Linked DNA regions of Neodiprion lecontei. The protein of the gene in region 1 purifies or fractionates together with the protein of each later gene. This does not show direct contact. Links are inferred from orthologs where the notes say so. Each region holds a gene or a part of one and is shown on either strand. Other genes may lie near its edges.

Region 1 (4,823 bases):
ATTTTTTCTTTTATTATTTAAATATTGAATTAATTCAAAATCTTCCTCAATATGCAGTTTAATACAATATGCAAACATAAATTTCCATGCTCACCGAATTGCCAGATGAACTAGAGTATGCCCAATGTCAAAAGCGCTGCTTCTGTTCAAAAGGAGAACTTCGGAATGCGTCAATTGACGAGCAGGGTCTCCACCGCTTGCCAAATAAGCTTCGACTGGTGCATTATCACCTTCAACTATGCCGAGGCATGCGTTTAACCAGCACCAGTCTGTATGACGCCTAAGCTGTTTTAATCTGCGTTCATATTCACAATTGTTGGGTGATTGTGGAGCCGGTAAAGTATCGTTTCTTTCATATCTATGAGAACTTCTGTAACCATAAAATACAAATGCGTTAATTTCCTGTTTTATCTTTCTATTTCATCTTTCTGACTTCACTTTTTAGTCGACCTATCATTATCACTATCGATATAATATGGCATCAGTTTGAACGGCATCTCATAATGTATTGACTTAGTGATTTTATTTCATAAGCTTCACAATCCTAGAACTTCGAAATAGTATCTTTACTTTCTTACTTTTCTTTACTTGAATGAGCAGTACGAGTGATTTCTTAGCGTGTCAATTAAAAGTCTGATGCATTATAAAGTATACAACTTGATTAAAATTTAAGAATACTTCATTTCATTGTACATTCAATTATTTCTTTTATTTCTTCGTTTATCACACGGTATTCTAAAAGTATGTACAAAACGAAATAAATACTGAAGAATCCATATTTACGTAATTTTAATCATCTTCTATTGGATTACTACTGTAAATGTCTCAATTATTGTTGCAATAAATGGCTGAAAAAATATATAGTAAATCAACAGCTGTGTAGTAATTATACCTAGTAAGTTTTATAAACACGATTTTGCAAGCCAATACATGTACCTTTTGGCTACTGCCAAGTTTTCATCTCGATGAGCTTGATGGATGTACGGAGTATGAGGCGGAGACGGAGACGGAAGGCCTTTCTGACACTGATCCCGGTCAGGACTGGGTAGGATAAGTCCTAGATTAGTAATGGATCTTTCTCTTCTTTCTTTTTCCTTCTGATGGGCACACATTATACATTTCGTAGCTTTTGGCCAGTTTTCATAGGTACACGACGGACACGACCATTTCTCTTGCTGCGTATTAGACAACGGCATATTCAGCTGCGCATAGGAGTACTTTTCAGGATGTAAATTAATTAACGGAGAATTTATCTGTAGGTTTGACCCTGGGTTAGGCGGGGGATCGCCCAGCCTTAATGGTGCTAGTTGTTCGTGTAGATTTGAGGCTGTCGAATGTATAGATGTGGAGTGATTTACCAGTTTCTTGTGTCCACACTGCGCACACCGATTTGTATTTTGATAATTGAGGTAGGTGCATAAGTCACAGGCCCATTTACCTCCTGAAGGCAAATTTTGGCTGTAATTTTGAGGGCTTAGGTTGCAAAAGTCTGTTGACTGACTTATTTGAGGTACTGGACCAGACGCTACGTTAGAACCTGATCGCTGTGGACTTGGATCGCGCAAACGATAAATATCTTCCCCGAATAAAGGCTTTGCCCCTCTGCACATTGTACATTTCAAAGATGAGGGCCAATTTTCATATGTACAATACTCGCAATTCCATTTACCCTCCGTCTGCTCACCTTGATTATTCATTTTAATTCCCTATGATTGTTACTATTACTTTTTTTTCCTTCAACTTTTTTCAACTTATAAAATGATTCGACTAATCGATCGATACTATTGCTTTAAAATCTTAATTTGGTAATTTCTGTCACTAACTAACGGAGATGGATCAAAGTTGTATTCTTTAAAGAAAAGTTTTTCCTCTGCTTATATTACCAAGAAAGCATTTGTTAGTACAATGGGATGATTTTTTTTTTTCTATAGGCCTTTTTTCTTGAATTGTTCCTTGGGAATTATGCGGATTGTTAATTTATTGTTTTTCCATATCTCTTGACGGCTGATGTCACGTGATGAACATTTTGACAGATTTTGACAGGGTAGAAGCTGCTGCGAGAATATTAAACCACCAGCAGCTGCAGTTATCTGAAATATTGGAGAGAAAAAAACATCAATAACTCTCTAGTTATTCAACAGCAGAAAATGATAAAACACTTTGACATATAAAGATTTAAAAAATGTACATATGAATAATCAAATATGACAGACAGTGCGACTTTTTCTCTAAACTTTAACTCCGAATAAAACCAGTAAAGGAAGAGAAAAGTGAACAATTTATGGCGATACATGTTTTGCTAAAAAAAAAAAAAGAAGTGTTAAAGCAATAATGACCATCAAGTTGCCGAAAGATGAAACAGGAGAAAAAAAGATATATTGTAAGAGTTCCCACCAGATTTTATCAAAAAATAATAAAATTATGTACATGTATCGAAAATCAAAACAAAACAGTCTGGGGAAAAAGTATTCGTAAAAACGAGGAAAACGGTTAACCTTGACCTGTTCTCTTCACTACCGAATGGATTTCAAGAGACGTTGGTTCTGCGTAATTCCTCGCCTCGGACAGGATACCCCAGATCCTGGTAGAATATCTCGTTACATGCCAGAATACTCCATTCGTTCCTCAAACTGGTTAAAGAATAGGCACGAAAGACACTGCTCTGGGCCAGCACCCCACTGCAACGTATTACGTGCACTTTGACAAGGGTTTGCGTCGTGCGTTTCTTTTTTTTATCGCCTTTTCTTTTTCACGTTGCGAGACAAAAATGATAAATAAGCATGTCGCGAATAATGGAGCGTTAAATCAGTGAAGACTCACTTCTCGCACGAGAGTTACTCACGTCTACGAGATTGACATCGTATTTCCTCGGGAACTTCTATGGGGAAAGTAGGTTTTGACAGTCATTCGCAAACAGCCAGTGGTGCCAACCTTCATCAACAAATATTCCAATTCTGCAATAATATTATACGCAGTCGGTCTATCCCTCTGTGTATTTTGCAACTTTCAATCATGCAGTGCTTGAATATTTCTCAAATATTTTGTCTGTTTTCAATTATTACACAATGCAATGTCAGTACAACAAAATAAAGTACATTGTCATAGCGTTTTACTCACCACCCGGTATATGGCTTTTTAGATTGGCAATGTTACAATCGACGATATCCGTATCCTACTTTTGAACAACGTTTCGACGCTTACCTCCACTTTGCATCTGACATTCGCTACTTATTATTAGATATTTTTCCCCAAATCCTTACAGCCAATTCTCAACGTTGTCGCAAAACTATCAATCCTCATCTCAAGACGAATTGGATCGCCAGTATCAAGAGATCAGTGAATCGGACACTTTCACATTGCATGATGTCAAACCAAACGTAGCCAAACGTAGACAATTTGCGCTAGTTGAATGACTGTGTGCCGTGCATGTCTAATTCATTTATTTATATATTTCTGGCTCTACGCCATATGGGTCTTAGCCTAGACATTTGACCTTGACATTTCCTTGTCAAATAATACATACAACTTCTCGAACAGCTATCACTATTGTTCAATCGTCGAAGATATGATTAATATGCAAGTAAATAACCAAGGAACTATTTCCCTACTCGCGCGTTGTCTGCTGTTATTTTTTGGTACAAAATGATGTCGCAAGATTAAGCCAGTTGAAAACTTAACCCTAAAAAATCGTCTTTTAAGTAGCTTGTCGTTCCCTCTTTGGTCGGTCCATTTCAGTACTTATATATCTCATGAATAATAGGAATTGTTAAAATGACATCGAAAATTTTAATATTATATGGAAGTGAAACTGGAACGGCTCAGGACGTGGCAGAACAAATTTGGAGAGATGCCAAAAGGTTTAATTCGTATACTCTTATGTCTGATAGAAAAAACTCGGATCGAAATGTAACATAGTACAAATGTGTACGTAGTATTTCAATTTTCGCATAGAATTGATAACAACTACTAATAATAAAAAAAGAAAACACGTCTTTCTCAATATACTTTTCAAGATGAACGTGCTTTTGTCCATTTGTAGCTACAATTATTTGCATAAGATTATGATACTTGCGTTATTGAATTAAAGTTTTTCTCATACACTTATGAAAATCTTAATTCCATCCTTGGTTTTCAGAGTTGGTGCGGACTGTTCTGTCATTTCAATGGACGATTATGATATAAAAAATTTGATTTCCGAACGAATAGTTATATTCGTTGTTGCCACAGCTGGTCAAGGTGACCCACCTACAAACATGAAAAAATTTTGGCGCTTTTTATTGCGGAAAAACTTACTGGCAAACTCGCTGCACAATATGTATTATGGAGTACTAGGACTGGGAGATAGTTCCTATGTCAAGTACAACTTTGCTGCGAAAAAATTAAGTAAAAGACTAGCTCAGTTAGGTGGAACAGAGATTCTATCCATTGGATTGGCCGATGATCAACACGATCTTGGTATTGATGCTGTCACAGTACCATGGATTGAACAATTATGGACTAATTTATCTACATTATTTGATATTCCTACAAGAATCCCAATGAGTGATAAAAATAACATCATCACCAAATTTAATGTCTCTCTCATTGATAATTGCAGCTCTGTTACTGCAGAAGATGCATATTCACGCAACGATATATATAGACATGAATTATATATGAATCATGATACCATCAAAGTCGGCAGAGTTATTGAAACGACTAGAATGACTTCAATCGATCATTTTCAGGATGTTAGATTGCTGAAATTTCATGTCGAAAATGCCAAGTATGAGCCTGGGGATGTTGTTTACCTGAGGCCAAAGAATTCTGCTGAAAAAGTACAT
Region 2 (6,718 bases), on another chromosome or scaffold:
CATCTTCATTTTCATCTTCATCCTCTTCACTTGATTCCACTGACTCGTTGTTTTCAGAGTCTTTTTTCTCTTCTTCCACTATCGGCCAGTACCAAATTTCTACAGGTTTGTCAATATTATTTTGATTATCTAGCTGCTCGCAGCTGTTTTGACTTCTACGTAAATCAACCTCTATCATCTGCTCGGTTTTTCTCTGTGAAATTCTTCCTCGAAAATCATTGGCGTTAAAATTATCCTCTTTCTTCTTCCCATTTTTTGTTGCTGACGGTTTTTTCTTCGGTGCTCTGCCTAAGCCCAGCCTATTTGTCTTCAGATCAATCGAAATTGGCTCGCATATTCCACTCTCCTTCTTCCCGATTCCTTGCCCAGGTGTGTATCCCATTTTCTCCAATAATTTAAAACCTGAATATAAGTAATAGTGGATATAACAGTTTCGAAAATAGTTCAAGTAGGATATTTGTCTAGCTCCAAGTGTGCAGAAATATAATTACAATGATTTGAGCTTGACCTTTATTGTCACTAGTGATGGCAGATGCTAGTCCTTTATCTCTCGTTTCCTGTTCTATGACCCGTACAGACACATTTTTTTCCTTTAATCGAGCTTCAATCTCTGCCTTCTTTTTTAAAAGATCTAATTCCCGTTGATCTGAGCGACGACGAGCGAGAATTGGAGTGCAGTGTTCTTCGGTAGCATGGAGAAATTTATCAGACATGTAATCTTCATCATCGGACATGATTTATTACCTACCTGAAAATTGAATACAGATAAGTAGAAATGTAAAAAATTCGCAACCACGTTGAAGACTAAACCATTGTTGTGACAGACCTGATGAGTGAACATAACGTACCGATAAAAAAATTAATTAACAAGTGAGGCTCAAGATGGTCGTGACAAAAGTTCCCTCATATGTAATACCATAAACACTCAAATTTCTTCGATTCTTCCCCTTTTTTTTCGTTAATCTTCTGTCAACTTGCTTTTGAGGTTATCTTCAATTTCTACTGATAATGATTTGACCAAGTTATTCAAACGATCTTGTCACAGGATATTTTTCAAAAAATTTTACTCGCGCTTCTCCATTTGCACGTAAGATTCGCCTAGCCTCGCATTCAGGTTGATTGAAATACTTTGAGAATATCCATGTACGATGAACTCGCTCCGGTTTATGTGGGAAATTATGCATACAAATGGTCATGTGATATTTTAAAAGGACGTACGTCACACATACACATATTCATACGCAGATACATCCGACGGTCGATAAACGGAAGAAACACCGGAATCGGAATTCGGACTGACTCTCAAGGAACAAAGTGAATTCGGACCACTGTGTTTCCGCAGTCCACCCGTGTACAATATTTTGTCTTTCAATTGTTTATTTAATTGCTCGTGTAGTCTCTTATTCCCATACGTGAAGCGTAGAGAACTCCGAAGGCGATGCGATCAAATCACTAATACCATCAGTACCGAGTAAAGTTCACGGGAGTTCAACGCAATTGTTGAGAGAGCGAAAAAAATATTCTGATTCTGTGTGTCTGTAGAGCAACATCTCGATCTCGAGACATCGGAGATTTCGCGTAATTATCGTGTTAAAAAAGTGCTTTCTACAACTACACCTTCGTCGCTGACCCCTTGAACGTTCGCCGTGTGTTACTTACGTTGCATTACCATGTTGAAACTGTGCCTGACAAATAAATTATATCAAATCTTAAAGTAACAAACACCGTTCACTGTTCCGTGTTTTAAGTAAAGTATTTTCGTCTTGATACCAATAACGCAGAGCTGCTGCGAAAGTCGAGTGTGATTAAACTTGGGTGATATAATTTGACAAGCGTAACACAATACGCCTAGCGAGTTCCTACCGAGTGATGATTGTCCGTTTTTTATGCCGAGTTATGGCACGCTATTGTTAACGCCGATGAACCCTACGAGCCAGTTTAACAGCTATTTTCGTTGTGTGGGCGTGTGCAGCTTCTATCCACACATGGACTCGAACCATGGTACATGGTATCCGAAATTTTTCGAACATACAGCTTAAAGACCTTTCACCTTAAACGAGTTGATAATGTTATTGGGCGATAAGTTTCAAGCCATCTGGATAGGCGAATGAACTGAGAAAAAGTGACATTGACGTTTATGTAGTGGTGTACACAATATGAAGATCAATATTAATCATTGTAAAAATAATTGACGAAGATATAAGCTGCTGGAAATCTTATCGTGCATCCAAATGTGAAAATCCAAAATTAACACCAAACTAAACTAATCTCAACACTTTGATGAAGAAAGTGTTCAACGTACGATTAACCTACTGCCGTAACCACTAGCCAATTAATATATTTCTCATAGTTATATCCGTTAAATAAAGTTTACAATAGGTTATGGTTATAGCTAGTGGGGGTTGGATTCAAAATGCTACTTATTCGCCGACCCCGAACAATTCCAACCTGAACACTAGTAACACGCCAAACAACAAGATGGCTGCTAAGGCAGTTTTGATTTGTCGGGCAAATTCCCATCCATTTCACGAGCGCACCGTTTCGCTCGAACAACCGGTTAAAATTGGTCGTTCCGTGGCGAGAGCTCGAGCTACGCCGAACAATGCTATATTCGACTGTAAAGTGCTTTCGCGAAATCACGCCTTACTCTGGTACGAGGCTGGTAAATTTTATATGCAAGATACCAAGAGTAGTAACGGAACGTTTATCAATAGCCAAAGACTTAGCATAGGTGGCGAAGAATCAGGACCCAGGGAGGTGTGCTCTGGTGATATTGTACAGTTCGGAGTCGATGTTATGGAAAACACGAGGAAGGTTACTCACGGATGTATCGTCGCTACTTTAAAATTGTACCTGCCTGACGGTAAAGAAGCTAAAGCTAGCGTTAGCACGTCGGTTGCGAGTCCTACGAGTAGTGTATCCCTGGAGGATTTGTACAAACTTAATCAATTCTTGCAAGAAGCTAACAGACGGGAAGAGGTCCTTAACGGCAAACTTCATCACCTCCAAAGACTGGTAGAAACGACAAGACAGGCAGCCGATCAATCGTGGAAAGCTTTGATTGACGAGGACCGTTTATTATCGCGTGTCGAAACTGTCGAGAGTCAGCTAGTTGCTTATTCGAAGAATTTTACAGAGGATAAGATAAGGAATGAGCTTGTTAAACTCCAAGAAGACAAAGCACAGTATCAAACAGCGGCTAAGGAAGCTTTGCAGAAAATATTGCAGGAGAAGTTAGAGGTGACACAAAAGTTTGCCAATCTTGAAAGGCAGCTTAACAATACCGAAGATGAGTGTCAGAGTTTGCATGAAGTATCCAAAACTACGCAGGCTGAGCTACAGGAACTAGCAGCTAAGTATACCGAGGCCCAAACTAAAATAAGCGAATTTTCTAACAAATTGGTAGAGAGCGAAGACAAGATGAAGGACTTGGTAGCTCAAGCTGAACAAGAAAAGAAGGGACTGCTAAAAAGGATCAAGGATCAGGCTAGAGTGGAGAAAATCTTGCAGTCAAAACTGAGGGACTTCAGGTATGACTCTACTACCATTCACGAGAAAGTGACTGCACTTAGAAAGCACCTCAAGACTCTGCAAGATATGAATTTGGACCTTCTTACCGACGAGGCCCAGCTTGCCGTTAACAATATATTGTACAAAACAAAGCTGATGTCTATAGAAGACTTTGATTATAATGAGGAGTCTAATTCTTACGCGAACAAAATTGAGCATGACAATCAAATTAACTCAAACTCTTGCAACAAGAGCAATATCGACGTATCATTATCAGAGATAGATAAGATTGTAGGGTGCATCCTGGACCCACCTTCCAGGAGAACCCTGGTCAATGGAAACGCTAATTTAGATAATTTAGACACCAGCGTAGAGTCTGACAATAACTCTGAGGTTAGCGAAGACGCTTGTACCACCACCAGCGACGATGGCAGCGAAAAATCAGTCGTCGAAGTGAAGAGAACCAGCGAAGAAAACAGCACACCAACTAAAGCTGCCGGTCAGCCAGCTAGATTATTAGAGGTAAGATTTGCTTGCGAAGAAAATGGTGAACCTTTAGAGGTTCATTATGATCCTGTTGAACAAACCGGAGAGGAGTCCGAGGTTTCGAGTTTGACAAGTGATTCAAAGGATATTAAAAATTCAGCAGAAAGTGAATTCGAAGACATTGATAAATCTTTTGAAGTATGCGATAAAGAAAAGAAACGTGAAAATAGTGAGGAGCGTGACGAAGATGAAGAAGAATGCGGCGAGGGTGAACATTTAGATGGAGATTATATAAAGACTTTAAAACCGATATCGAAAAACGAGTCTGCACAACAAAGTTTACAGTCTAAGGAATATACTCTTCAAACTTTAATTGGCTCTTTGGACTCCTTGAAGGATGAAGATAACTATGAGGCACAGCAATTAGCTAATAAGGAGCTGGACGACCTTAGAGAATGGCTGATTCACGAGTCTAATGAAACTGTAATAAGTAAACTAAAGGAGTTGTATTATCGTGCTAAAAATGAGACTCAACGTATTCAAGAAATAAACGAAGAACTTGTCATTCTTAAAGAAAAGTGCAACGCTTGTACAGAAGAGAATACAGAACTAGTTAAAGGATACGAAGCTCTTAAAGCTCAGTGTGGAGATCTGTTGAATGTTACCTACACAGTTCCCATACAATACGTTGCACCAATCGCAATAGCATTTTTATGGATGCTGTTTGAAAAAATATTCTAATGTTCTCTAACTCTGTACATAGTTATTGTTCATACTATTATATTTGATTTTTTATGATGTCACATGTTAAGCATATTATTATGAGATATAGTATAAAGTAATTATCATAATAACAATAATAATAATAATACCAAGCATTACAGGATACTCCAGCATATTGTTTCGGTTGCAATTGAGAACCTTTTTTTATACGAAAAGAAAACAAACATAATAAATAAATTAACAGTGTACATATATACATATATTATATTTAACTCTAAAAGTCAAGGATGTGAAGATAAGTTTATTCGCTTCCATTATGAGTAAACATTGAATGGAAGCTCAGCATCTTACCATTTCAATTCAAGAACCAGAAAGAAATCAAATATTTATATTATTTTACTTCTATTTATATCCTTTACATCTTCAGTACACATAAAAACATTCAAGCATTGTGCCAATTCTTCGGAGTTGGAGATGTGTTAGAAAAATATATAGACAATACTGACGTACCGTATAAAAAATGAATAACCACTTTGCCAATTTCAATACCATATCGTTTTTAACGTATAAAACGTATTTCTACACTGAAAAAAAAAACGACATGCAAATTTATCGTATGTATCATTGATTATTATGCATTTTCATTTGCAAGTAATCGTGATAATGTATATTGGTAAATAAAATAACTAGAATGCAAAATTTTTTATAACTTAGCACGGAGAATCTTTTATACTCAAACTAAGTGAATATTCAGGAAAATTCAAAGATTTATGCAAATATGTAAAATTTATTCTCTACTGTACTAGCTGATATCACGCACTGAATATTGCCTGTGGAAAGCACTTGGTTCTGTTATATGTTAAATTTTATTGTAATAAATACATTAATGCAATGTTAATTGTTAGCTGGTAATTATGTTCTTGTTATTTAAATTTTCACAATATGGTTTACAGAACACCTCAATGTGGTATTGATCAGTATGGGCCTAGAGTTATTTTCATATTGGCAATAAATAAAATAATGGTCTCTCTTAATTATTCGTCGTTTATAGTAGATTAAAAATTTATTATATTTTCTTATCATGTTAGTTTTTGTAGTGTGCCATTGATTAATTCGATTCTTTCCATTTTGCAAAAAATAACTGAAAGATGTTGCACTATCTTTCCAGCGTAAAATGCAGCATGTTGTAGAATGAAACCAATTTGGAAGGTTTGAGATAGAATATGACGATAATAGTTATTAAATTCTGTACATATTTTGTTGATATAATATTAATACCTATGTAACAGTCACTATATAAAACGAAATAAAATTAAATTAATTGAAATTTTATTAATCCGTCTTACTATATCCTCTTGTAATTTGCACTGTGCTATCGCTTTCAATGTCAGCTTAAGCAGCCTTTAAAGTCAATTATTAGCCCTAATTAATTCTAGGAAGCATTGTTTTTTTAAAGTAGATATGAAATTAACTTGGATAAAAATGCGTTGAGCGAAATTTTTTTAATCATATACCTCTTGCATGTAATAGTTAAAAGTACAAATTAAGTATACGCATAATGAAACTAGTTGAAAAGTAATGAGGGATTAATTTTTTGTTGTAAGTAGTATAAATTTAATTATTGTATTGCATATAGTATACAGAAATTTATATCAGTACTTTGTGTTTAATTTACAGTCATGGATACCTAGCTGGTTCTAGTTCACTGAGTCATAACTAAAATCATAAGGACTTCCAATGCCATGCGGGCAATAATATTCTTGACAATAACTGGAATGTGCCGAAAACACTAACACATGGCAGGTGGTTCCAGTTCTAACGGAGATTCTTCTCCAAGTCGAGTATGTAGAGATTTTCTGCGCAACGTTTGCCACAGAGGGAAGCGATGTAAATATCTTCATGAAAGATCAGAAGATGACCCAGCAGATGAATATACTTTTTGTCATGATTTTCAAAATGGGATTTGCAATTGGCCGGGATGCCGATTTTTGCATTGCAC

Evidence for each region.
Region 2: the proteins of ubiquitin thioesterase trabid (region 1) and sarcolemmal membrane-associated protein purify together in Homo sapiens (affinity purification with mass spectrometry; 3 studies listed by BioGRID and IntAct, with this or other methods). This does not show direct contact. The link is inferred for Neodiprion lecontei from reciprocal best matches to the Homo sapiens genes ZRANB1 and SLMAP.

What each region holds. Positions count from the first base shown.
Region 1 is NC_060260.1:13,808,106-13,812,928, reverse strand, and holds the start of ubiquitin thioesterase trabid, read right to left. Parts: upstream 3,251-4,823; 5' UTR 3,118-3,250; intron 2,955-3,117; 5' UTR 2,843-2,954; exon of another isoform or gene 2,821-2,842; intron 2,740-2,820; exon of another isoform or gene 2,679-2,739; 5' UTR 2,502-2,678; exon of another isoform or gene 2,496-2,501; intron 2,091-2,495; 5' UTR 1,698-2,090; coding exon 937-1,697; intron 371-936; coding exon 95-370; intron 1-94. Other genes in the region: NADPH-dependent diflavin oxidoreductase 1, read left to right, coding at 3,772-3,857, 4,136-4,823. UniProt on the Homo sapiens protein: Ubiquitin thioesterase, which specifically hydrolyzes 'Lys-29'-linked and 'Lys-33'-linked diubiquitin. Also cleaves 'Lys-63'-linked chains, but with 40-fold less efficiency compared to 'Lys-29'-linked ones.
Region 2 is NC_060263.1:38,398,624-38,405,341, reverse strand, and holds sarcolemmal membrane-associated protein, read left to right. Parts: upstream 1-2,021; 5' UTR 2,022-2,382; coding exon 2,383-4,737; 3' UTR 4,738-6,051; downstream 6,052-6,718. Other genes in the region: G patch domain-containing protein 11, read right to left, coding at 1-402, 509-734; zinc finger CCCH domain-containing protein 10, read left to right, coding at 6,516-6,718. UniProt on the Homo sapiens protein: Associates with the striatin-interacting phosphatase and kinase (STRIPAK) core complex, forming the extended (SIKE1:SLMAP)STRIPAK complex.